Linked DNA regions of Macaca fascicularis. The protein of the gene in region 6 interacts with the protein of the main gene of each other region in a biochemical or structural test. Links are inferred from orthologs where the notes say so. Each region holds a gene or a part of one and is shown on either strand. Other genes may lie near its edges. The genes, in order: PHF8, ZMYND11, CBX3, HDAC1, CBX5, H3-4 and ING4.

Region 1 (3,986 bases), on a different chromosome or scaffold from region 6:
CACAAAGAAAAGGGGGGGGGTCTTATAAATCTAAAAAAAAAAACACTCAAAAGAAAGGTGCAAAGATGAAATACATAGGGGAAAACACAGGAAAAGGAGAAACCAGAGGCTAATGTCAGCTAGGTCCTGGTCTGCAAGGAGAAATGGCAGAACCTGAGTCTGGGAGAGGGGGTTCTGAGCCGGAATCTAAAAACAGAGCTGAAAAAGGAAGAGAGAGCAAGTGAACATACCTGGCCACCGCACCCTGTGTAGCCTGGCCTGCCCTCCTTACCTGCCATGAAACCAGTCCTGGCACATGTCACACTCGATCATGAAGCGGGTCACATCGTAAGGCAGCCGGCAGAGGCAATACACCGGCACCGAGGCCATCTTCGCTCGGCCCTGGAGCGTTGTGCGGCCGGCCAGGTTCGTCGTGTCAAGAGGGGCGGAAGGCGGCAGCACGCGTCCTCTCTGGACGATGGCTAGGCACAAACAACACTTTTTACAGAGTGAATCAGCCCCCGCCCCCCACCCCCTTGCACCAACCCTCAGTTCCCCAATAGAGAGTTACCGCCGCCGGGATGCAACACAGCTGGTGCGGCTGTAGGGGGCAACCAGAGAAAGTCCACCCGGCCTTTAGAATTTCTTTCACACGTAAAGAACGGCGCTCAACCTTCCAGGCTTTCCACCGCCCCCACCCTCCCCACCCCCCACCCCCCACCCCCCACCCCCCACCCCCGACCTTCTTCGCCCCGGAGTCAGTGATAACTTCTTTCCGGGTTTCAGGAAAATACCTGAAGCCTTTTCGGGAAGCTTCTTTCATCTCTCACTGAACCCTCTCCTAGCTGACCCGTTTCACAAGGCTCCCTTTATTATGACGCAAACCACAGCCTCAAAAATGAGGCTGGGGGTATCGCCAGACAAGACCCTCCTCTCACCCCCCGAAACAGGGCCAACCAGAGAGAAATAAGGGATCCCCGAAAGTCTCTTCAGGTTACTCAAAGCCTCCACGAACAAGACAGACAAGACTAGACGCCCAACTCAAATCACAGTTCTGGGGTCGTGTTCCGAGAGTTTAAATAATCCTTTCCGTCACTCTCAGTATCATTCCTTCCCCGACCAGTCAGGAGTCTCGTCACGCCCAAAACTGAAATAAATAGAAATCTCTAAACTGACCAGCTCGTTTTGTACTTTCAAGATGACAGGCTTCTGGTTGCATCCCTGAAACTCAAAAGGATCTATTCAAAACCCCTCAAACTGACTAGAGTTTCCTCACACTCTTGAAACTAGGCAAGGATTCTTTTGCATCGCTCGGAACTGCCACGGTTTCCTTGCAGCCCCCTCAAACTGATGAGAGCTCCCTAGTCCCCACAAATGTTCAGGTACCTCACGGTATATCCTAACACTGACAGTAATACCCTCGCAGCCCCCAAAACTTACAGGAATCTTAACGCTTCCCCAACTGACAGGAACCTCCTCACGCCCCAAACCTGACAAGAACGTCTTCGGTCCAGAATCCTACAGGGACCTCCTCATGCTTTGGGCTGCAAGGACTCCACGCCCGCAGAGCTCAGTCCCCGCAACACGCCGGCAGCCGGGCTAGCTCCGGGACGGCGAGGCGCCTCAGCGGAGGCTCGTCCGGTAGTTCCGGCCCCTACGGCGGCGCGCGTCGAATTCTGGGATAGTCCCCGTACCGCCGGGAACCTCGCTCGCCTTCCCCTGGAGCCCCCTGCTGGGTCGCGCGTCGCCAGTCGCCCGACGGTACTTCAGAGCAGCCTCCTCCACAACATTCCCCTCGGCCCGGCCGTTCGGGCCTACTGGAGACCGCGGCTTGGGCCTAGTCTGGCGGCCGCCCGGCGAACGGGCAAGTGGCGTCGTCGCTGGGCCAGCAGGAGATAGTCGCGAGCAAACCAACGGGGAAAGAGATGAACCGGCCGCCACGTCCGAGGCACACGGCCCGAAAAGTCGTTGGGAGAAGCCCAGTGGCGGTGGTAGGCAATTCGGAGTAGTCAATAAAGTTTATTCAAAGCAACGAGGAAGTTGAAGCGGAGAGGGGAGGAGAAATACGGGGTAAACATCTACCATGTTGAGAGTGGCGGCGCTACCCACAGAGCCAAGGCTTGACCGCCATCTTATGAGGGCTGGGCTCGCGAGGTGAGCGCGGCGGAGGCGGGGAACCGCGAGCCGCCGGCTCCCGGGTGACGCCGCCAGGGGGCGGGGCGCCACCTTGAGAAAGGAGGGCGGTTCTCAGCCACCTTTGGACCCGCTAGTCTCTTTAAGGTGCCCAATCGCCGCTGAAGACCTTGAGCCCAGAGGCGGAGAAGCCGCCATCTTAGGCGAGGCAGACGTTTGGCTCCATTTTGAGTGGGGCCCGAAACTTCCTAGCCTTCCCCCTCCTCCGGGCAAACAGGGAGTTAAGCTACCCCGACTCGCACACTCCTCCTCCCCAGCCTTACTCCTCCTATGAGAGGAGGTGAACTCGGTGACTCCAAACTACAAAATTAATAGGTGACGGCGGGGGCGGGCTTCAGCCGGGGTAGAGGCGGAGTACTCACCGCGGCTCCTGATCATTGAGCACCTTCGGCGGGCTGGGCTCTTTCCCACGGTCTCTGCGTTGTTCTTACCCCTGTGAAGGAAGCTCTGTGATTATCACCAAATGAAGGCAGGGGCCTCGAGAAGCCAAGTGACTTGAGTCCCAGAGCAGGGACGTTGAACCTTGCGCCCTGTGCTACCCGCGTTCTGTCCTCAGGCCCTCAGTGTAGTTCCTCTGTAAAGCGCTGCCAACTCCACAACTCCCTCTGAACTCTTCTTTGACCCTACTGTTTCACTTCAGTTCAAATACAGTTCAAGGATTTGTTTGCACCTGTCCCACAATTTTCTGACTATAGCCTGAGGGGAGGGGATAGGGGATGAGAGGAAAGGCTGAGTTAGTGGAGCTTTGCTGAGTTAGTGGAGCTTCATACATATGCTTCAAGATGGCCTAGGTTTTCCCAAACATTCTAGAAAATTATCTAGGAGTTATCTTACTATTTCATTTTCTTAAAGGGTCCCATTGCTTTAAAAAATAAATGTGTGCGTGCACACAATTTACTAACCAGTGATGGTGGGTTAGGCCCTGGGGATGCAATGGTGAAAACAGGGCCTCTGGAGTGGGAGGGCATCTGCCAGTGCAGGAAACAAAGTTGCGAGTAAACAATGGAATAGAAGGCGCAGCAAGCTCACAAATACCACCTGCAAAATGACCTTTGCAAAATGCAACACGAAGCTACAAAAGAGCCTTACAAACCGCTTGCAGCTGCTGTAAGAAAGACGGCAGGGAGACATGGAGAATATAAGTTCACTTAAATAAACAAGCGAGAACATTGTACTCAAAAGGATCAACGTGTACAAATGCATGGAGGCACATAGAAAAATATTTACTAAAAGTTGAATATTGTTGGAACAAGGAGAACAGAAGAGAGATAGGTAGGAGGTCAAACAGTAAAGGGTCAAAACATGAAAGATTGCGAAATGCAAAAGAGTTTAGATTGTATGCAGTTAGTAAAAAGAAAAGAAGGTATTTGAGCAGGAGTAGCTGAGTCTCATATTTGTGACTTACCCAGAGGATGGTTTAGGGTTGTTTTTTTTTTTTTTTTTTTTTAAATGTTTATTTTAGAGACAAGGTCTCACTCTGTCAACTCAGGCTGGGCGATCATAGCTCATTTCACCCTAGAACTCGTGGACTCAAGCAATCCTTCCGCCAGAGCCTCCTGAGTAGCTGGGACTATAGGCGCATACCACCACACTCGGTTATTTTTGATTTTTTGTAGAGCCCAGACCTCGCTATATTGCCCAGGCTGGTCTCAAACTCCTGGTTTTAGGAGATCCTCTAAAAGCATTGGGATTACAGGCCTGAGCCACTGCACTGAAAGGTCCAGGTTTAATGGGACCTGAAGCTTATATGGTTTGGGGGAGGAAGGGTGAGACATCTTTAAGAAAAAAAACAGCCAGGCGTGGTGGCTCACGCC
Region 2 (3,500 bases), on a different chromosome or scaffold from region 6:
CCTCCCAAGTAGCTGGAGTTTCAGGCACACGCCACCATGCCCGGCTAATTTTTGTATTTTTTGCAGAGATGGAGTTTCATGGTCTCCAGTGATCTGCCTGCCTCGGCCTCCCCAAGTGCTGGGATTACAGACGTGAGCATGGAGCCTGGCCAAGAAGAAAGAATTCTAACCCTTTTACTAGTCTACTAGACCCAATGTGATGAGCACACAAAGCTCAGCTCTGCCAACTGGGTTTTTAATAGGTCTTAAATTCCTCATCTTAGAGTACAAAAATACCCACTTCAGCTATTTCACAAATGGTAAAGTGCTATAAAAGACAGTTTTATAATTATTGCCTCTTCTTCCCATTTTCTTGATTCTTTATTAGTAAACTTAAGAGATTTCTACTCATAAAAATTTTTTAAGAGACAGGATCTTGTTCCATCGCCTAGGCTGGAGTGCAGTGGTGCGATCACAGCTCTCTGCAACCTTGAACTCCTGGGCTCAAGCACTCCTTCTGCCTTGGCCTCCCAAAGCACTGGGACTACAGGCATGAGCGTCTTTGGGTGTTGTGCTTCTGTTATTTTGAGCATACCTTAATTCCTATCTAATGATATTGTGAGAGTTGATCACACAAATTCAGTCATTCTTGTCATACCCAACTAAAACTGAGTTGAGGAGCTGGGGGGAAAAGCACTTGGAACACAAAATGTTGGCTGCAACTCTCAGACTAGTTTTGCCGACTGCCATCCGTCACCAATCAGAGCTTGTCAGCTCCTCAAAACTTTACTAGCACCAATGAAATTTCTTAAAGAATATGGAAATTTTCTTCTTCGGAGAGCACACTTTCACTTGTACTGAAGGCTGTGCCACCCAATGTGCAGGCTGTTTTTTTAACAGAAAATAAAGCTCTCTTTTTTCCTCCACAGATTGCCTGGTCTTTTGTTAACAATATTTATTTTGTTATTCACCACCTCTTCCTACCAAGTTATCTTCATGTATTCTTCTAAATTATATGCTAAGTTTCTCTTTTCCTTCTTGCCAAATCTTTGTCACAGATTTAAAAATATTTCTTTCATGAAGAGTTTATGTGTATTTATATAATATAGGCTGGATAAAATGAAGAATTAAAGTTTATCACAGAACTTTATATAGTCAACTGAAACCAAGTTATGAGCTTTCGGGAGCAAAACTTTTCCCTAATTCACTGAGCACTGTGGCGACTGTAAGATGAGCACTTGGATGCTGTGTACTCAGAAGCTCCCGCTCTGGTGGGGAGGATGAGACTCGCGAGCCGGACATGACGACAAATGACACTAGCTGGTCAGGTATAAGGGAGGGTAGTTAGAGACCAGTGAAATGTCACTACTATAAAGTAAAAATAATTGATTTCTTTAACAAAATCTAATGCATAAATGTTAAGTGCAGGGAAATCGGAAACTCTTTAATTTATTGTGATAATTACATTTATAATTTCACCATTTGGATGTTACCCATCTGAAATCACCAGGTAAAAGTTAGGGCCAGCCAATTTGCCCAAATAAAATATTTGCATAGATGGAGAAATTATATAAGTTAATTGTAATAAATATGTAATAAGGTATTATAATCTCAATTTAACAAAATAATCCTGAGCAGTACACAGTAATACGGGATCTGGGGTTGAGAGATCATAGGACTGTTAATAAAATTTTAAAAACTAAAGCTGACCACTTCACATTTGATCTTATTTCAGAAACATCTTCTGCACGTGCCACAGCTACCTTCTGAATAAACTGGCATCATACCTGTGGTACGTTTTCAGAAATAACAGTCTAAAAAAGACTGGTATTTACCCACTGCTTCTTCTTGGTCTGAGAAATCAGTTGCTTGTGCTGTGTTGCCAGCTTCTTGATTTCTTCTACGAACTCCTCCTTACACTTTTCCTTTACTTGCTTACATTTTCTGTCCATCTCACCCTGCATGTTGGCCACAGCTTTATTTACAGCTTGTCTCTTTTCTTCTTCCATCTCAGAACGCAGCTGGAATGAAAAGACAACCCACAGTAAGAGCGCACGACTTACACAGACCGCCTACAACGGAACAGAAACTTAACACATCGTTCCTACTTGCATGAGGTACCGTTTTCCCCTTCATTACATGTGTAAAAAATTTAGGTGAGAAAAGTATCGTTATTACTTGAAATGCTATAAAAGATACTGGTGTCATTCTATTGCTACATTTAAAAGCTGCTACTGGGTTGCTGCATGAGTAAAAGGAGCCTAACCATGACAGGAGTGCCGGCTGCAGCAGGGCACCCAGTGTGGCGACAAGCATTACCTTCTCCAGAGCTTCTCGGACAACACGCTCTGTCTCCCGCTTGTGGTCCGACTTCATCCGGTCTTTGAAGTCATTGAAGATCTTCGTGTATTTGTCATGGCACATGCTCTGACACACGCCATCACTGGTGGTCTGGGTGCTCCGATGCAGCATTCTTGGTGAAGAGGCACTTAACTTCTTGGTCTGAGTTGACACGGAGACTTTTTCGATTGGCTGAGGCATCGTGGGTATTTCCTGGCTAGAACTTACTGCTTCTGTTTCAGGCTCTGGTTCCTAAAAGGTAAGACAAGAGTTTAGATGCAAAACAAAGCAATATAATTCACTAGTTCAAGAACTACTCTATTAGGCTAAAAATACAGTGATATACGTAAACAGCCATATAATAAACTTCTGTTAAAAAATATGGTTAGGATGGTAGATTTCATGTATATTTTGCCAAAATTTAAAAATAAACAAATCTCCCCCAATCAGTGAATGAAAAGAACATGCAATTAACAACAGCTACAATTAACAACAGCTACAATTACAAACGTAAGCTTCATTTATAATTTTACTTAATACTGTAAGTTTTGTTTTTAAAATAAACATAAAAATTTATAGAATATAAAAAGTATTGTCAACTTATAATCACTTCATTGGACTAGATTCATTAACAAATTTCCTAAAAGTCTAAACCACTTCTCACTGAATATATGTTTGAAATGTGTCCAGATTTACACAGTTTTAAAACATGCAGAGCTTATATCACTTAAAACGGCTGAGCTCAACCACAGTCTCCTTCAAGTTTTCAAATGTTGGCACAACCGATATACTGGATAAATGTGTTGTTTTTAATAATACTTAGGAAAAATATCAGAGCTCCCAGGAAATGTATTAATAGCAACGTGCCCTTCCCACTTAGCCAAGCTTTGGTCAGTGGCTGCTGAATTAAGATGGAGACTTGGAGCATGTATGCTATTCCAGGGTAACAGATAATGACAGGGAAGTCAGAAGACTGGTTTCAGCTTGATGGATATTATTCGATTGACAGCAACTGAATTTCCAAGTATCCACCAAGAGTGATTGTCTTTGAAATACTTGAAAATACAAAATACTCTGAAAATATTTCCTGTTTCATTTGCCACCTGGATACTGCGAGGTGGGCAACTTACTTCCTTTTTGGGCTCCACACTTTGATTACGTCGTCCTTTCTTTGCTCTTGG
Region 3 (3,500 bases), on a different chromosome or scaffold from region 6:
TTCCTGGTTTCAAGTGATCCTCCAGCCTTGGACCCTCAAAGTGCTGGAATTGCAGGTGTGAGCCACTGCACCCAGGCCCTACATTCTAATTTGAGACTCTAAATTAGTAAATCCAAATTACTGGGTAGAGAACAATAAAAGTCTCTGCTCTGTAATATTATTTTCATTAAAGTCTTCTTGGCTGGGTGTGGTGGCTCACACCTGTAATCCCAGAACTTTGGGAGGTCAAAGCAGGTGGATCCCTTGAGGTCAGGAGTTTGGGATCAGCCTGGCCAACATGGTGAAACCCTGTCTCTGCTAAAATACAAAAATTAGCTGGGCATAGTGGCAAATGCCTGTAGTCCCAGCTACTCGGGAGGCTGAGGCAGGAAAATTGCTTGAACTCGGGAGACAGAGGTTGCAGTGAGCTGAGATCACGCCACTGCACTCCAGCCTGGGCAACAGGGCGAGACTCCGTCTAAAAAAAAAAAGAAAAGAGTCTTTTACATTACTTATTACACTGCACATGGCCAAATGCAGTATAATTTTGCTAGTGGCCTTAAGTTTTGGGAGAAGAAAAAGGGAGGAGCCCATTCATTTCCTAAAGTTTTGCTGGGTAAAAATAATTTTTCATGTTTCATGGGCTTAATAAAGTATGGACTTATGATACATACTTAATTTCAACTAAAAACACTGGAGGATAAAACAGGAAAACGTAAATCTCCCATTCAACTCATATTTCCCAAACTGCTATGAATTAAATGTGAAGAGCAGGGAAAGCACGAGATAACAGATATGTGAAGCCCAATCATTTGACTACCATATGCTCTATCTCCAGCAAGCTCAGGAAATTGATCTCCACCTATCCATTTTTAATTGTCACTGCCTATGGAGCTTTGTGGTGTAACAGGGAAGAATCAAAGCAGATAAGCACAACAAACACCAAGTGTTAAAGTATGTAATTGCTGCATGTTCAAGTTATTCACATTTTGTGAAAATTATCAAGAATCCGTATCAAAGAACACAAGGAACCAGAGAGCTTAAAACAAGCCCAGGCTCTACTTCTTAGGTATTAGGACATAATAAACTTAGTATAAAGCCTAGATTATAGGTAATCCTGTATGAGACCCACTAGTCTATACTATATAGCTTCAATGTTTTTTAGTACCCTCTGTGTGGAGGAAAACAATGCAGATTGTTATAATCAGTATAATATCTAACCACATTAAAATACATTATATAGTAAACTACACTCTATAATTTTACAAATTTGACTCCCCAGGGTAATAAACTAGTCTCTAGTCTGCTCAGCTTCAACTGTACAATAAAGTTTTGGTTCTTTTTAAATAGACTTCAAATAAGATACCTAAATTCAAGGTGTCTTTACATTTAAAGACATCTATGGGAAAGCAGGTAAAAGAGTCAGGTTAAAAACAAATTCTAAAACCACTTAGCTGCAGTCAAACATACAATACAGATGCACTAAAGTTTCTTACTCTGTAAATCCCTTCCACTTCAGGAAATACTCCACTTTCCCATTCACTACACGTCGATCTAGTACTTTTTCCACCACAAATTCTTCAGGCTCTGCCTCTTCAACTTTTTTACTCTTTCCATTCTGTTTTTTCCCCATTTTTTGCTAAAATAAAACAAATGAGAAATTAAGAAATATTCTTCTTGAATTTTGGGTACATTTTCAAGGCTCAATTGCTTACATTATTATTACATTCAACATAAATTTTTACTTTTTACTTCCACATCCCAGGGCAGACAGGGAAAGATTAAAAGTCAACAGACAATAAAATAAAAGAATGCTTTATTTTGTTGATTTAGCTCAAACTTATGACCCACCACCAAAATAATACAATCAAAAACACTATCTGGAAAAATTACTTTTTTTCCAGTCTTTTTTTTTTTGAGACAGGGTCTCTCACTCTGTTGCCCAGGCTGGAGTGCAATGGCGTGATCTCGGCTCACTGCAACCTCTGCCTCCCTAGGTTCAAGCAATTATCAAGCCTCAGCCTCCCAAGTAGCTGGGATTACAGGCACATGCCACCATGCCGGGCTAATTTTTTTTGTATTTTTATTAGAAACGGGGTTTCACCATGTTGACCAGGCTGGTCTCAAACTCCTGACTTCAAGTGATTTTGCCTCCCAAAGTGCTGGGATTACAGGCGTAAGCCACTGCGCCCGGCCCTGTAGTCTTAAAAGACCAAGTTTACTAGAGTTTTCACTCATTTTAACAACACAGCAACTATGCAGGAAGTACTTACAGGGTGATACAGAGAAGAAAATAGTAGTGACAGGTCTTAGGTGAACCAACGACAGACCTAAGAGCCTCCTTCTCAATTCAAATACTAATGTCAAAAGCTTCAATAATACAAATAAAAGGTAAGCGCAGAATGAACACGTGGTTCACAATCCTGATACCAACTGCAAGGTCAACTATGGAGACCACTAGGAGGTTAAAGGACAAGATTATTTTTCCATCTCTGTAGATAATATTTCCTACCACTTAGAACCTATAAAGCTGTCACTTCAAGAGGACAAAAGGGGAGATTTTAATTCTCTAAGGTGAAAAAAATCCTTCCTTCCTGGTTTCTCAAGACAAAGTCTATATTGGTAGCCAACTTCACTTTAAACAGGCATTTTTTTGTATGACACTATTTAAGAGAAGCAGGAAACCAACCTCAATCAGCTCTCTTCAATAGCTCAAGATTTGCTATGAGAGGATTAAAAATGGGGAAAATTTTTATGAGATTAAAAATGCGGGGGAAAAACCCCGAAATGGTTAATCAGAAGATCCTATGGGCAGAGAAGAAATCCACCTTAACATTTCATCTTAAAACAAATGCTACTGCCAGGCGTGGTGGCTCATGCCTGTAATGCCAGCACTTTGGGAGGCTGAGGTGGGCAGATCACCTGATGTCAGGAGTTTGAGACCAGCCTGACCAACATGGAGAAACGCTGTCTCTACTAAAAATAAAAAAGTAGCCAGGCATGGTGATGCATGCCTGTAATCCCAGCTACTTGGGAGGCTGAGGCAGGAGAATCGCTTGAACCCGGGAGGCCGAGGTTGCGATGAGCCAAGATCACGCCATTGCACTCTAGCCTGGACAAGAGAAAAACTGTCTCAAAAAAACCCCCCCACAAAACCAAAAAACCCAAATACTATCAAAAAAAGATAAACCTTAATTGCCCAGTCACTAAAGCCATCCCACAAGTAAAGCAGCAAGCAGAAAAAAGTTAACAGCAACACCTCAAGGCTACAAAAGGACATTTCAAGCTATGCAGGCATATGAAGTGCGCAGACACACATGTAAGAAAGGCCTCAAGACTGCAAAATGACATTTCAAGCTATGCAAGCAAGCATATAGGTAACACACACACACACACACACACACACACACACACACACACACTCCCCTGGAATACAAAAAAATGCAGCAAACACCTGACTTTCTCGGATACCATTTCCAAGTCAGGTCTTATGATTCTCATTAGTCAAGATACTTGAGTAC
Region 4 (3,500 bases), about 120 Mb from region 6:
GTGCAGGCCAGCATGCCAGCTAATTTTTTTTTTGTATTTTTTGTAGAGACAAGGTTTCTTGGGAGATTTTACATAATAATCTGGATTTCCAGCATCTCTTTAAAAACTCGAAGATCGGCCTCCCAAAGTGCTGGGATTACAGGTTTTTTGAGACAGGGTCTCACTCTGTCTCTCAGGCTGGAGCACAGTAGTACAATCACGGATCACTGTAACCTCTGCTTCCCAGGCTCAAAATGATCCTCCCACCTCAGCCTCCTAAGTAGCCGGGACCACAGGCACTTGCTACCATGCCCGGCTACTTTTTTGTAAAGACGAGGTCTTGCCATGTTGACCAAGTTGGTCTCGAACTCCTGGGCTCAAGCAATCTGCCCATCTCGGCCTCCCAAAGTGCTAGTATGACAGGCATGAGCCACTGCACCTGGCTTTGTTTTTTTGTTTTGTTTTGTTTTTGAGATGGAGTCTCGCTCTGTCACCCAGGCTGGAGTGCAGTGGTGCGATCTCAGCTCACTGCAAGCTCTGCCTCATGGGTTCACACCATTATCCTGCTTCAGCCTCCCGAGCAGCTGGGACTACAGGCGCCCGCCACCATGCCCGGCTAATTTTTTGTATTTTTAGTAGAGACAGGGTTTCACCGTGTTAGCCAGGATGGTCTCAATCTCCTGACCTCGGCCTCCCAAAGTGCTGGGATTACAGGCGTAAGCCACCATGCCCAGCCTAGCTTTTTTTTTAAGACAGAGTCTTGCTCTGTCCCCCAGGCTGAAATGCAGTGGTGCAATCATAGCTCACTGCAGCCTCGACCTCCCAGGCTCAAGCAGTCTTCCCACCTCAGCCTCCCAAGTACCTGAGACCACAGGCACACGCCACCATGGCCAAATTTTGTTGTAGAGACAGGATTTCCCTATGTTGCCCAGGCTGGCCTAGGACTCCTAGGTTCAAGTGATCCTCCTGCCTCCACCTCCTGAAGTGCTGTGATTACAGGCGTAAGCCACCATGCCCAGCCAAAAATCTTTATCATTTATTGTACCTGCCTTGTAACAGCAGTCAACATGTAAATGAGTGGTGGAGAAAATGAGATAATGAATGGCATATAGGGAACCAGAGCAGATGCAGTTAGGGAATAATAGCACATATGGTAACTCACATAGATTTCCATTTTTCGGTAGAGACCATAGTTGAGCAGCAAATTATGAGTCATGCGGATTCGGTGAGGCTTCATTGGGTGGCCTTGTCCGTAGTAGTAATTTCCAACATCCCCTGAAGAAGAGACAGTGACAGCTTCACGAAACGGTTAGACATACACTCCCAGGAGAACCCAGGAATTTTTTTTTTCTTTTTTTTGAGATGGAGTCTCGCTCTGTACCCAGGCTGGAGTGCAATGGTGCTATCTCGGCAGCTCTCTGCAACCTCCGCCTCCCAGGTTCAAGCAATTGTCCTGCCTCAGCCTCCTAAATTGCTGGGATTACAGGTGCGTGCCACCAAACCCAGCTAATTTTTGTATTTTAGTAGAGGTGGGATTTCACCATGTTGGCCAGGCTGGTCTCAAACTCCTCACCTCAAGTGATCCTCCCACCTCAGCCTCCGAAAGTGCTAGGATTATTTTATATCTGAATTATTTACATGACTATATCCACAAGACTGGGTACCCCTTGAAGGCAAGGATTAATATGCCTTGTATATCACAGAGGCTCAATAAAGATTCAATGAATTGAATTGAGTCTCAGAGAAGTTAAGTGCCTGCTCAAGATCACACAGCTAATGAATGATCTGGAGCCCACTCTTCTGACTCCAAATCCAATATGCTAAAAGCTACATTGGGTTTCTTTTTCTTTTTTTTTTTTCTTTTTTTTTTTTTAGACAGTCTCACTCTGTTGCCCAGGCTGGGGCGCAGTGGCACAATATCGGCTCACTGCAGGCTCTGCCTCCTGGGTTCATGCCATTCTCCTGGCTCAGCCTCCCAAGTAGTTGACACTACAGGCGCCCTCCACCACGCCCGGCTAATTTTTTGCATTTTTTTTTTAGTAGAGACAGGGTTTCACTGTGTTAGCCAGGATGGTCTCGATCTCCTGACCTTGTGATCCACCCGCCTCAGCCTCCCAAAGTGCTGGGAGTACAGGCATGAGCCACTGTGCCCGGCCCTACACTGGGTTTCTCAGGTACCTACTTTAGTTTGCACTTAATCTAGAGGGCCCTATAAATCTACCTGGTAGAAAGTTCCTTGAACACTGTTGCAAAATCAAGTGAACTATACACCCAAAGATCTCTCCTTAGAGGTTTATTAGCTTGAGGCAGAGCTTTCGCCACCCAGTGAAAAAAAGGCATGAGCCTTGATCCCTAGCAACTCCCTTGCCTATCAAGCCTGCATCCAGTCAAGGCTCAGACCTGGAGGACTAAGATACCTTATCCAGAAGGGTAAGGGAGTACCTGAGGTGAGGGTAGTCAGGGTGGGGCTCTGAGACACCATCCTTTTCTTTTTACGTTTTTTTGTTTGTTTGTTTGATGTTTTTGTTTGTTTGCTTGTTTGTAGAGATGGCATCTTGCTTTGTTGCCCAGGCTGGTTTCAAACTCCTGATTAGCCTTCTAAAGTGCTGGAATTACAGATGTGAGCCTCCAATAGTGCAGGCCAACCATCCTTTTCCTAAGTTTTTAATTAGTTTGCCAACCGTGCTGTGTGTATTCCTATACACATTGACAAATGCTATGACAGGGTGGTACGGAGCATGAGGGGTACTGTCCACTTCCTTAGAATTCCACCCTGGATCCTCTTCTATATAACTTCTTGAGTGACTGCATCCTTCATGACTAAATTTACTATAATTAAAATAAAGACATATCTCTATATCTTAATCAGGTTGCTGAGAGACTTTAAAAGAAATTGTCCTTTTTATTTAGGTACGACTTAATTTTTATTTTTATTTTTGGAGACAGAGTCTCACTCTGTCACCCAGGCTAGAGTTCAGTGGTGCGATCTCAGGCTCACTGCCTGCCGGGTTCAAACAATTCTCCTGCCTCAGCCTCCTGAGTAGCTGGGATTACAGGCATGTGCCACCACGCCTAAGTTTTGTACTTTTAGTAGAGTCAGGGTTTCACCATGTTGGCCAGGCTGGTCTCAAACTCCTGACCTCAAATGATCCACCCACCTTGGCCTCTCAAAGTGCTGGGATTACAGACGTGAGCCTGGCGCCAGCCATACTTTAAACTCTTAAAGAGCTTTCCCATCATTGTTCTCATAATAGGAACTCCTATCATTTTGATTTTATAGGAGAGTAATCTGAAATGTAAGGTGACTTGCCTAGTATTGCAAAGCTTCTCAATGGCAGAGCCAAATCTGAGTCCCAAAGTAATGACCTCACTGCAAAACTCGGTTTCTCGAGTAAGATGTCTATTCCCAGCCGGGCATGGTGGCTCAGCCTGTAATCCCAGCACTTTGGGAGGCCGAGATGGGCGGATCACGAGGTAAGGAGATCAAGACCATCCTGACTAACACGGTGAAACCGGTCTCT
Region 5 (3,079 bases), on a different chromosome or scaffold from region 6:
ATCAGCAGCTGAGCAGGGAAGCAATGTTAACAAATGCTATGAATGGGTATATGATTTGCATATTATGTGGCTCATCTGTGGACTGGAGCAATCCATCCATTCCCCTCATTACTCTGAATAATCTAGAAATGGTGGATGCTCCTGGCCAGACAGCTGTATGTTTTAAAAATCAAAAGCAACAAGAAAAGCAGCCTCATGGCTGGTGCACTCTAGAATTAAGGCTATATTAAGCATTTATTCTTATTTCCTCAGCTTTGGGGCTGGGGCAAGGGTCCTCAAAACCCTGCTATTTCCTTACTTCTAATTGTGATTCTCTAGCCCTCCTCAACCACAAAAAGAAAAGGATAAAGTAGGACATTTCTTGGGGGACAAAGGCAGAAGGATATGATCAGACAAATTTCTCAATATAATAGCAACACAAGAAGAAACCAAAAGGAAATATTTTGCTGAGTAAGGAGAAAAGGTTGTGTCAACATGCTAATAATGCCAGGGCCTGTCACTTTCCAAGGTGATAGTCTTTTAGGAACATGCCTTTATTTTTATTTATTTATATTTTTTAGAGACAGGGGTCTCACTACATTACCCAGGCTGGTCTCAAACTTCTGGCTTCAAGCAATTCTCCTGCCTCAGCCTCCCAAAGTGCTGGGATTACAGGTGGTAGCCACTGTGCCGGGCCATGAAAATTCATTTTAAAAAATAAGATACAACTATAAGTTTGAGGGTAGAAAAAGGGAAGAGCATTAATATTTTGGGGACTCTTGGTGGTAAATCCAGGAGCCAAGAATGCAAGAGACTTTTAACTGCTATGAATACTTAAAATTGATATTGTGGCCAACAGCTCACCTCTAAAACTTCCCCACTGAAAATAATGGCATGGAAGGGAAACTCGGGTCCACTGAGAAGTGAGGGTCAGGTTTGAAGCCTCTTTGGTAACAGGAATGCTTTGGGAGGCCACAAAAGTTGGCAGGCTTGGAGGGTGCCTAGCACCTTGGCACAAGCAAGCACCAGGCAAACACTCACACCTACATAAATATACAGTCTAAATATGAGGAATGGAAAGAAATCATACATACATACCATATGTGATAATAAAGACAATTGTACCCTACCCCATCATCCTCATGTACTATAGCTAAAAATCTCCACAGTTAATAATCTTGTCATTTTATCACAAATTGATATCACTTTACAGAAGCAGAAGTGGAGAGTGCTAAAAGCAAGACCAAAAGTCCTGGGGCTAAAAAGAGTGTCTTGACAAATTTCAGTGTAAAATTTCAAATCTTCCAAAGGATGGAGTAATTCTGGGAGGATAAGTGAGGATGAACAACAGAGGGTGGCCCAGAAGACCACACCAGAAACCCTGTATTCTCCTGGGTAGAGCTGAACAAGGTTGGGAAAGCCCCAACAGGTAGGCAGTTGCTATTGGCTTTTTAACAGACGGGCAACATCCTTTCCATCTCAACATGTCAGAACAAAGGCCAGCTAGTCAGCAACATGTTCTAAGAACCAAAGCAAGAAACCAAAATTCAACATCATTGTGACAAAATCCCCCAATCTAAAAATCAAGACTCTAAGGTGATTAAAAAGTTAAAACTCATCTTGAGGTCACAGGGGAGCAGAAGGAAGAGATCAGGGCAAAGGAAAAAAAAATTGTGGGTATTACACTCAGTATGTAAATGCCTGGTCTTCACAGAGAGACACTCATCATTAATCAGACCATCAGTTATGTTACAAGAGAACCAATACCAACATTTCTCCTGTGGAGCACAGTGATAAGCACATTTTTTATGGATGTGTTTAGGATAGAAAGGGGTGGGTAGAAGGGAGAGGAGGCAGGGAGGTGAATGTATTATGTACAAAGAGAAATGACAGAGACCATCCCCTCCTTTAGCTCTTTGCTGTTTCTTTCTCTTTGTTTTCCGCATCCTCAGGATATGCATGCCATGTCAGTCTCTCTTCATAAAATGCTATCACAATTTGTGGACATTTCACGTTAGCTTCTTTTGCAAGAACCAGGTCAGCTTCATCTGTGTCTTTCCTGGAGAGAAATAATATGAGATTTAAAAGGAGAGGAAGAGTGAAAGAATCTGTCCAGACGTAAGTTTATGTCATTATACGGATTTAATTGACTTGATTTCCTCCTCACCTTGGTTTCAAGGTGAAAAGGACCCTTTCAATATTTTCAAGAAGAAATTTAAGTAAATGGATTAATACCTAATATACAGAAACAGATGTCTGTAGCTAGAATTTAGATGTAAACCATGGTAGGCTTAGGTTAAAAAGCTGAATGATAAATAATATTAATCTGCTTCCAAAATTTTTATTTGTGAATACAAGCATGTGAGTGAACCCAATCAAACCTACATTCAGCTCTATTAATTATGCATAAGTCAATTATACACAGGTTGGTCAATCCAGTTTCCAGATCATCTAAGTGAAGAGGTCTTAACCCTCCTCACTTTGTGTCTGTTTAAATACTTATTACCCCTCTGGTCAGAACTGTGGATTGGAACAACAAGCAAATAAAAATTTAGCTACAAATTTCAATTATCTCAGTTACACAACCTCTACTACCAAGTATAACAAAAAAATCTAGCCACATGGTTCCTTAAACATGATTCCAAATCAGTTTTTAAAAAATTAAAATTATCCTGAGAAGCCCAGGCACAGTAGCTCACGCCTGTAATCCTAGCACTTTGGGAGGCTGAGGCAGGTGGATCGCTTGAGCCCAGGAGTTCGAGACCAGCCTGGGCAACATGGCAAAACCCATCTCTACCAAAAAATACAAAAATTAGCTAGGCATGGTGGTGCACACTTGTGGTCCCAGCTACTTGGGAGGCTGAGGTGGGAGGATCACTTGGGCTTAGGAGGTGGAGGTTGCAGTGAGCTGAGATCGAACCACTGAACTCCAGCCTGGGCAACAGAGCGAGACCCTGTCTCAAAATAAATAAATAATAAAAAACAAAATAAAATTATCCTGAGATGTGGACAAGAAAAATTACCACCTTATTGGAGCAGATACTCAAATATGGACTACGGTGGAAAAAGCTAATTAATGTTAATGTAAATCGTAAGTAAC
Region 6 (3,929 bases):
TAGTCATCTACCCTAACAGAAGATAGGGTGAATTAACAACATACATGACTAGCCAGCCTTTTAACTGAATGGGAGATTGGGTATGTTAACACATACAATGACGTGGACTTCTAACTGGAGATGGGCCAACATCACAGCTACATATGTGTGTGCACATGGGCACACGTGCACGTGCGCACATACACACACACACACCCCTAGCCAGCCTTCTAACCTAATGGGAGATAGCCCAAGTTAACAAGATATACAACTAGCCAGCTTTCTAAATTAACAGGAGGTAGGCTGAGTTAACACACACAAGTAGCTGGACTTTGTTTTTTTTTTTTTTTTTTTTGGTTTTGAGACTGAGTCTCGCTCTGTTGCCCATGCTGGAGTGCAGTGGCATGATCTTGGCTCACTGCAACGTCTGTCTCCTGGGTTCAAGCAGTTCTCCTGCCTCAGCCTCCCAAGTAGCTGGGATTACGGGCATGTGCCACCACACCTGGCTAATTTTTGTCTTTTTAGTAGAGATGGGGTTTCACCATGTTGGCCAGGCAGGTCTGGAACTCCTGACCTCAGGTGATCCACCCGCCTTGGCCTCCCAAAGTGCTGGGATTACAGACCTGAGCTGCCACGCTGGTGAAGTAGCTGGACTTCTAACTGAAAATAGGCCAAGATAACACATACTACTTGCTGGCCTTAACAGGCTGTCTAGGTAGGAGACTAGCTGGACTGGTAACCTCACTGGAAAGAAGCTGTGTGTACACACACACACACACACACGCAGGACTTGTAACAGTTTGAAAGAGGCTGAGCTGAGAACACACAAGACCAGCCAGCCTTCCAACCTAACTGTAGATAGGCTGAGTTGACACAACTAGCTGGGGTTGCTTACCTAACTGGAGATAGGCCAGTTACGCTACCCTCAACACCCCGTCCCCAAACAGACCAACCATGATTCTTATCTAAAGGGATAGACCAAGTTAGCACCACACACGACTAGCTGGACTTGTAACTGGAGACAGGCTGGGAGGTAACGCGCATGAGTAGCTGGCCTCCTAACTGGACAGGGTGAACACAGGATTCGCCAGCCTCCCACCCTAATCAGAATTAGGTAAGCCAGCACCGGCCAGCGGAAGGAACCCCCAAAACCCAAGAGCCTGGCTTGCTACAGCAACTCTTCCGACCAGGTGGGTGGCTCTTAAAAGAGCCTTTGGGGTGAACGTTGCGCAACCTCTCAGGTGGCGAGATGGCCCTCCTAGGCCCGCTCCCCACGGATACGGCGTGCCAGCTGGATGTCCTTGGGCATGATGGTGACCCGTTTGGCGTGGATGGCACACAGGTTGGTGTCCTCGAACAGCCCAACCAGGTAAGACTCGCACGCCTCCTGCAGCGCCATCACGGCCGAGCTCTGGAAGCGCAGGTCGGTCTTAAAGTCCTGAGCGATCTCGCGCACCAGCCGCTGGAAGGGCAGCTTGCGGATTAGCAGCTCAGTGGACTTCTGGTAGCGGCGGATCTCGCGAAGCGCCACTGTGCCAGGTCGGTAGCGGTGCGGCTTCTTCACGCCGCCAGTGGCGGGTGCGCTCTTGCGAGCCACCTTAGTGGCCAGCTGCTTGCGTGGCGCCTTGCCACCCGTCGACTTGCGCGCAGTCTGCTTGGTTCGGGCCATGAATTTGAAACTGTTGTCTCTGCCGTGTCCTCTGACCAGACCTCAGCTGATTGCCCGCTTTTATAGAGCTTGCCGCGTTTTCATTGGCTGGCCTCAGGTGGCGTGATGGCCCCCTACTCTCTGATTGGTCCACAGGGCACGCCACTCGGCCGCCTCTCCCTTATATTAGTGCTTGTTGGTCGTGGCCACCAGAGCTAGCACCAGCATTGTGAAGGGTTGATGCGGGTAGGCCACGGCGGTGGAGATCATCTCTCTCCAGCACAAGCTTCCTCGTGTCTCCTCAGCAATCCTCTTCTCCCTTCCTCATGACTTGGGTGGGAAGAGCCTTCCGAAAGCCAGCATGTGGCATTCCACTTTTTTTAAAAATTAATTTTTAAAAAATTTTTTGAGATGGAGTTTAACTCTTGTTGCCCAGGCTGGAGTGCAATGGCGCGATCTCTGCTCACTGCAACCTCTACCTCCCAGGTTCAAGCGATTCTTCTGCCTCAGCCTACCAAGTAACTGGGATTACAGGGATTACAGGTATCCACCACAAAGAGATGGGTTTTCACCATATTGGCCAGGCTGGTCTCAAACTCCTGACCTCAGGTGATCCACCTGCCTCGGCCTCCCAAAGTGCTGGGATTACAGGCATGAGCCACCAGGCCCAGCTGGCATTCCACTTTTTTTTTTTTTTTTTGAGACGGAGTCTCGCTCTGTTACCCAGGCTGGAGTGCAGTGGCGCAATCCCGGCTCACTGCAAGCTCCGCCTCCAGGGTTCAGGCAATTCTCCTGCCTCAGCCTCCCAAATAGCTGGGACTACAGGCGCCCACCACCACACCCGGCTAATTTTGTTTTGTATTTTTAGTAGAGACAGGGTTTCACCATGTTAGCCAGGATGATCTCGATCTCCTGACCTCGTGATCCACCTGCCTCAGCCTCCCAAAATGCTGGGATTACAGGCGTGAGCCACCGCGCCCAGCCGGCATTCCACTTTTACACAGTGATACAGCTCTGGGATCCAACCAGAGTTAAAGGAATCTTCCACTTTTTATGACCTGCAAAGAACTCCCTTTGCTGTATGGCTCAGATGAGCCTTAGGATGCTGAAGAAGGTAAAGATATGCCTTTCTGGCATATTAACTCTTTTGAGATAAAGGCACTTAAAAAAAAAAAAAAATAGAGGCAGGTGTAGGAAGATCATTCTGAGTTTCTTGTTGTTTCTTAAAGGCAAGAAATAGAATTCCCCTATGAAAGATGTTCTTATAGTAAAAGGAAGGGAACGTTCTTATCATCAAGGACCAGAAGGTGGAAGCTTCCAAATCTCCTCCAACTCTGAAGCTGAAATTTGATCCCTAAAGTTGGAGCCGGGGCTCAGTGGGAGGTGTGTGGGTCCTGGAGGTGTCACCCTCTGAATAGAGTCCTGCCCTCCTTTAGGGTGAGTTCTCACTCTGTTGGTTCCCTGAAGAGCTGGTTGTTGAAAAGAGCCTGGCACTCCCCTCCCCTCTCTTTCTGGCTTCCTCTCTTGTGCAGTCCTGTGACCTCTGCACACACATGGGTTCCCCTTCACCTTCCACCATAAGCAGAAGCAGCCAGAGGCCCTCACCAGAAGCAGAGGTGGGCCCTATACTTGCTTCCTTCCATTCTCCCTCCCTCCCTTCCTTTCTCTCTCCCTCCCTCCCTTCTTCGCTCCCTTTCTTCCTTCCTTCCTTTCCTTTCTTTTTATCTTCTTCCCTCCCCTCCCCTCCTCTCCTTCTTTTTTCAGTCTTGCTCTGTTGCCCAGGCCCCTCCTACCTCAGCCTCCCAAGTAGCTGGGACCACATCCAGCTAATTTTTAAATTTTTTGGAGAGATGGGCTGTCATTATGTTGACCAAGCTGGTCTTGAATTCCTGAGTTCAACTGATCCCCCGACTTTGGCCTCCCAAAGTGCTAGGATTACAGGCTTGAGCCACCATGCTGGGCCACCGTGCTTTTTTTGTTTTTTTGACCTGAGTCTCACCCTGTTGCCCAGGCTGGAGTGCAGTGGTGTGATCTCAGCCCACTGCAACGTCCGCCTCCCGGGAAGTTCAAGCAACTCTCCTGCCTCAGCCTCCCGAGTAGCTGGGATTACAGGTGTGAGCCACTGCACCCAGCCACCGTGCTTCTTGTACAGCCTGGGAAACCATAAGCCAATACCTTTTTTTTTTTTTTCCAATAAATCATCCAGTCTCAGGTATTCCTTTAACAACACAAAACAGACTAAGACAGAAGCCAAGAGAAATCTATACAAACAAACTTTATTAAACTAACCCTTATCTTCCTA
Region 7 (4,244 bases), on a different chromosome or scaffold from region 6:
AGCTAATTTTTGTATTTTTAGTAAAGACGGTTTCACCATGTTAGCCAGGCTGGTCTTGAACTCCTGACCTCAGGTGATCCACTCATCTCAGCCTCCCAATGTGCTAGGATTACAGGCGTGAGCCACCACTCCCAGCCTTTTTGTTTTTGTTTTGAGACGGAGTCTAACTCTGTTGCTCAGGCTGGAATGCAGTGGCTCACTGTAACCTCCGCCTCCCAGGTTCAAGCGATTCTCCTGCCTCAGCCTCCTGAGTAGCTGGGACTACAGGTGCCCGTCACCACGCCCAGCTAATTTTTTTGTATTTTTAGTAGAGACGGGGTTTCACTGTGTTAGCCAGGCTGGTCTCGATCTCCTGACCTCGTGATCCGCCCGCCTCAGCCTCCCAAAGTGCTGGGATTACAGGCGTGAGCCACCTGGCCTGGCCACAAGTTTTTTTTTTTTTTTTTTTTTTTTTTTTTTTTTTTTTTTTTTTTTGAGACGGAGTCTCGCTCTGTCGCCCAGGCTGGAGTGCAGTGGCCAGATCTCAGCTCACTGCAAGCTCCGCCTCCCAGGTTCACGCCATTCTCCTGCCTCAGCCTCCGGAGTAGCTGGGACTACAGGCGCCCGCCACCTCGCCCGGCTAGTTTTTTGTATTTTTTAGTAGAGCCGGGGTTTCACCGTGTTAGCCAGGATGGTCTCGATCTCCTGACCTCGTGATCCACCCGTCTCGGCCTCCCAAAGTGCTGGGATTACAGGCTTGAGCCACCGCGCCCGGCCTTTTTTTTTTTTTTTTTTTTTTTAAGAGGGACACAGAGTCTCTCTCTGTCGCCCAGGCTGGAGTGCAGTGGTATGATCTTGGCTCACTGCAATCTTCACCTCCTGGGTTCAAGTGATTCTCCTGACTCAGCCTCCCAAGTAGCTGGGATTAGAGTCACATGCTACCATGCCCAGATAAATTTTTTTTTTTTTTTAAATAGAGACTGGTTTCACCATGTTGGCCAGGCTGGTTTCAAACTCCTGACCTCAAGTGATCTGCCCACCTTGGCCTCCCAAAGTGCTGGGATTACAAGCATAAGATTCTGTGCCCAGCCTGTCTACCTCACTTTCTAAGCAGCAAGAAGCCACCTTAGATTCTTCCTTCTCTCTCAACCACCCAGTCAGTCAGTCCTTTCTTTTTTTTTTTTTTTTTTGAGACTGAGTCTGGCTCTGTCGCCCAGGCTGGAGTGCAGTGGCCGGATCTCAGCTCACTGCAAGCTCCGCCTCCCGGGTTTACGCCATTCTCCTGCCTCAGCCTCCCGAGTAGCTGGGACTACAGGCGCCCGCCACCGCGCCCGGCTAGTTTTTTGTATTTTTTAGTAGAGACGGGGTTTCACCGTGTTAGCCAGGATGGTCTCGATCTCCTGACCTTGTGATCCGCCCGTCTCAGCCTCCCAAAGTGCTGGGATTACAGGCTTGAGCCACCGCGCCCGGCAGTCCTTTCATATTTAACTCCTAAATACTTCCATAACTCCCTAAAATCAGGTTCTTATCTCTGTCCTGGAATGTTATCACTAAATTGATCTCTGTTATCAGTGATATCATGCTTCAATGTACCATATATTAGTCATTTTCGTTTATAAAAATCACATTGTACTTTAAAATGCAAACTTCTTAGTTTGGCTTAAAAGACTTTGTCCAATCTAGCCTCAGCTTCTTTCTCCAGTCTCGTTTCTCAATTTCTTACCTTAGAGTCATAAATATTAAATACGCTGACCTCTGAGTCATAAATATCAAACACCCTTGACTTTGCCACAAACCTATCACAGTACCTTTGCAGACACTTTCCCCAACCTAGAATTCCCTTTTTCTCTCCTCACTGGCAAACAACCTTCAAGACCCTATTCAAACATCACCTCCTCTGTAAAGCTTTTCCTACATCGCCAGGTAATTACCCCCCTTTTCTGCAGTGTTGCCTACCAAATGTCCTTTTTAATGGATTTCCATTATTTCACTTGTCACAGTGTTTTACAATTACTTGCAGAATCTGTTTCCTTCTAGATCGAGAGCTTCTTGAGGGCAGGGGCCTTGTCTTACCCATTTTTCTATCCCTAGTGCCTGCCATTATGTCTGACCCATAGTAGGAACTCAATAAATATTTGTTGAATAAATGACTCCGGGCCCTAAAACAAATGTAAGCGCATAGGGCGACAGGCTTTGTGCAGGGGTGGTTTACATAAATGGCATAACACCAGATTTTCATTTGATGGGAATTAGATCTTTACTCCACGAAGAGAAGCGTTCCAGCTCATCATCTGACAGTGGTCACTCACCACCACCACTCTCACCACCACCACTCTCACCACCACCACTCTCAACCCCACGAGAAGCCACTTCTGAGGAAGAATGGGGTGGAGGAGGGGTCTTCACCGCTGCTCCAAATGACAGTGGGTGATAACGATTCTGAACGACTATAGGAAAAAAATCTACCCAGAGGCTGGAGACGCTGGAGAATGGGGGCAGCAATTATCTTCCCGGCCGTGCACACTAGCCCTTCAAGACACGTCCCTAACCCCCACACCGCAGCCCCTCCCTCCTCTACCCCCAACAGCGGGGCCTCGATCCTGCTGCCCCGCCCCCTCTTTCTCCGCACCCTCCAATATTTCCTGCCACAGAACCCCCTCACAATTGTAACCTTCTCGTCATTGAGACTTAAGGGCTACAGATCCTCTCATCCCTGATCCCCGCACCACTCTACAGCCCCGACCCCCACCTCCAGCCTGCTCTTACTGTCCAGATAATGTTCCAAATACATCCCCGCAGCCATCTCGAAGCAAAACAAAGCAACTTCCGATCCGCCCCGGAAGTGACTATAACGCGACAGGGTCCGAAGCCATTTTGGGGCTAAAGCCTTTCCGCCCTTAAAAGGAGAACTTCCGCCCTTACTATGTTACCGCCGGTACACATCCGCCCGACGCTCAAACTTTTCCTTTTGCATGGTAGCCACGACCGCCCATAGTGAGGCAGCTGTAGCCCGCTTCCGCCCTTACAGAGACCCCAGGACGCGACCGAGACAGGTATGACGTCACTGAAGGTCGCCATTTTGCATTATCGGGCAAACTTTTTTCCCTCCAAAACGGGAATGTATAGCAATCGGTGCAGGGGTAACTGTTCACTTTAGGCTTATATTGCGTAAACATCCCTTCTCAGCGACTGGAAGATACAGCTTTTTTTCCCTCTTTGCAGAATATGACTTTTTTCAAGCCAGTTAGTTTCTTAAGGAAGTTGGGGAAGAGTATCAAGCCTTGAGAGATTTAAACCCTTTGCATTTCTTTTCACTCACACAAACACCATCTCCCCCAGCATTATTTTTTAAGCTTGAGAAGGATTATCAACTTTCTACTTATAAATACAAATAATGACAATAATGCTATAATTCTGCACATCTTTTGTCAGACCTCCTGTACTTTATACTCGAATACTTTCACATATAAAATATTACTTCTTTTTTTTTTTTTTTTTTTTTTTTTTTTTTTTTTTTTTTTTTTTTTTTTGAGACGGAGTCTCGCTCTGTCGCCCAGGCTGGAGTGCAGTGGCCGGATCTCAGCTCACTGCAAGCTCCGCCTCCCGGGTTTACGCCATTCTCCTGCCTCAGCCTCCCGAGTAGCTGGGACTACAGGCGCCCGCCACCTCGCCCGGCTAGTTTTTTTGTATTTTTAGTAGAGACGGGGTTTCACCGTGTTAACCAGGATGGTCTTGATCTCCTGACCTCGTGATCCGCCCATCTCGGCCTCCCAAAGTGCTGGGATTACAGGCTTGAGCCACCGCGCCCGGCCAAAATATTACTTCTGACGTTGCCCTCTTGCTACTTTTTTTTTTTGAGACAGAATTTTCACTCTTGTTGCCCAGGCTGGAGTGCAATAGCGTGATCATGGAGCCATCTCTCCACAACCTCCACCTCCCAGGTTCAAGTGATTCTCCTGCCTCAGCCTCCCGTGTAGCTGGGATTACAGGCATGCACCATCACACCTGGCTAATTTTGTATTTTTAGTAGAGACGGGGTTTCTCCATGTTGGTCAGGCTGGTCTTGAAATCCCGACCTCAGGCGATCTGCCCTCCTCAGCCTCTCAAAGTGCTGGGATTACAGGCGTGATTCACTGTGCCTGGCACCTCTTGCTACTCTCTAAGGGGGAAACCTCATGTTTTTGTTTTCCTTTTGTTTATATGTGATGTTAGCATCATAATTCTGAAGGGGTCGAGTGATGCAGCACTATCACTACAGGGCTAGT

Evidence for each region.
Region 1: the proteins of H3-4 (region 6) and PHF8 form a complex in vitro, tested with the Homo sapiens proteins (2 studies listed by BioGRID, with this or other methods). The link is inferred for Macaca fascicularis from reciprocal best matches to the Homo sapiens genes H3-4 and PHF8.
Region 2: the proteins of H3-4 (region 6) and ZMYND11 form a complex in vitro, tested with the Homo sapiens proteins (2 studies listed by BioGRID, with this or other methods). The link is inferred for Macaca fascicularis from reciprocal best matches to the Homo sapiens genes H3-4 and ZMYND11.
Region 3: the proteins of H3-4 (region 6) and CBX3 interact in a test that uses a peptide from one of them, tested with the Homo sapiens proteins (2 studies listed by BioGRID, with this or other methods). The link is inferred for Macaca fascicularis from reciprocal best matches to the Homo sapiens genes H3-4 and CBX3.
Region 4: of the proteins of H3-4 (region 6) and HDAC1, one has a biochemical effect on the other in vitro, tested with the Homo sapiens proteins (2 studies listed by BioGRID, with this or other methods). The link is inferred for Macaca fascicularis from reciprocal best matches to the Homo sapiens genes H3-4 and HDAC1.
Region 5: the proteins of H3-4 (region 6) and CBX5 interact in a test that uses a peptide from one of them, tested with the Homo sapiens proteins (5 studies listed by BioGRID, with this or other methods). The link is inferred for Macaca fascicularis from reciprocal best matches to the Homo sapiens genes H3-4 and CBX5.
Region 7: the proteins of H3-4 (region 6) and ING4 are reported together in a solved structure, tested with the Homo sapiens proteins (2 studies listed by BioGRID, with this or other methods). The link is inferred for Macaca fascicularis from reciprocal best matches to the Homo sapiens genes H3-4 and ING4.

The regions. Positions count from the first base shown.
Region 1 is NC_088395.1:54,015,629-54,019,614, forward strand, and holds the start of PHF8 (histone lysine demethylase PHF8), read right to left. Parts: upstream 2,801-3,986; 5' UTR 2,551-2,800; coding exon 2,535-2,550; intron 1,991-2,534; exon of another isoform or gene 1,420-1,990; intron 1,030-1,419; exon of another isoform or gene 774-1,029; intron 478-773; exon of another isoform or gene 462-477; coding exon 272-461; intron 1-271. UniProt on the Homo sapiens protein: Histone lysine demethylase with selectivity for the di- and monomethyl states that plays a key role cell cycle progression, rDNA transcription and brain development.
Region 2 is NC_088383.1:642,150-645,649, reverse strand, and holds part of ZMYND11 (zinc finger MYND domain-containing protein 11), read right to left. Parts: coding exon 3,450-3,500; intron 2,572-3,449; coding exon 2,299-2,571; intron 2,001-2,298; coding exon 1,815-2,000; intron 1-1,814. UniProt on the Homo sapiens protein: Chromatin reader that specifically recognizes and binds histone H3.3 trimethylated at 'Lys-36' (H3.3K36me3) and regulates RNA polymerase II elongation. Does not bind other histone H3 subtypes (H3.1 or H3.2).
Region 3 is NC_088377.1:104,099,243-104,102,742, forward strand, and holds part of CBX3 (chromobox protein homolog 3), read right to left. Parts: intron 1,619-3,500; coding exon 1,476-1,618; intron 1-1,475.
Region 4 is NC_088375.1:202,723,227-202,726,726, forward strand, and holds part of HDAC1 (histone deacetylase 1), read right to left. Parts: intron 1,255-3,500; coding exon 1,142-1,254; intron 1-1,141. UniProt on the Homo sapiens protein: Histone deacetylase that catalyzes the deacetylation of lysine residues on the N-terminal part of the core histones (H2A, H2B, H3 and H4).
Region 5 is NC_088385.1:61,082,268-61,085,346, forward strand, and holds the end of CBX5 (chromobox protein homolog 5), read right to left. Parts: intron 2,039-3,079; coding exon 1,888-2,038; 3' UTR 501-1,887; downstream 1-500. UniProt on the Homo sapiens protein: Component of heterochromatin that recognizes and binds histone H3 tails methylated at 'Lys-9' (H3K9me), leading to epigenetic repression. In contrast, it is excluded from chromatin when 'Tyr-41' of histone H3 is phosphorylated (H3Y41ph).
Region 6 is NC_088375.1:86,334,956-86,338,884, forward strand, and holds H3-4 (histone H3.1t), read right to left. Parts: upstream 2,801-3,929; 5' UTR 1,649-2,800; coding exon 1,238-1,648; 3' UTR 258-1,237; downstream 1-257. UniProt on the Homo sapiens protein: Core component of nucleosome. Nucleosomes wrap and compact DNA into chromatin, limiting DNA accessibility to the cellular machineries which require DNA as a template.
Region 7 is NC_088385.1:7,585,634-7,589,877, forward strand, and holds the start of ING4 (inhibitor of growth protein 4), read right to left. Parts: upstream 2,801-4,244; 5' UTR 2,783-2,800; coding exon 2,746-2,782; exon of another isoform or gene 2,729-2,745; intron 1-2,728.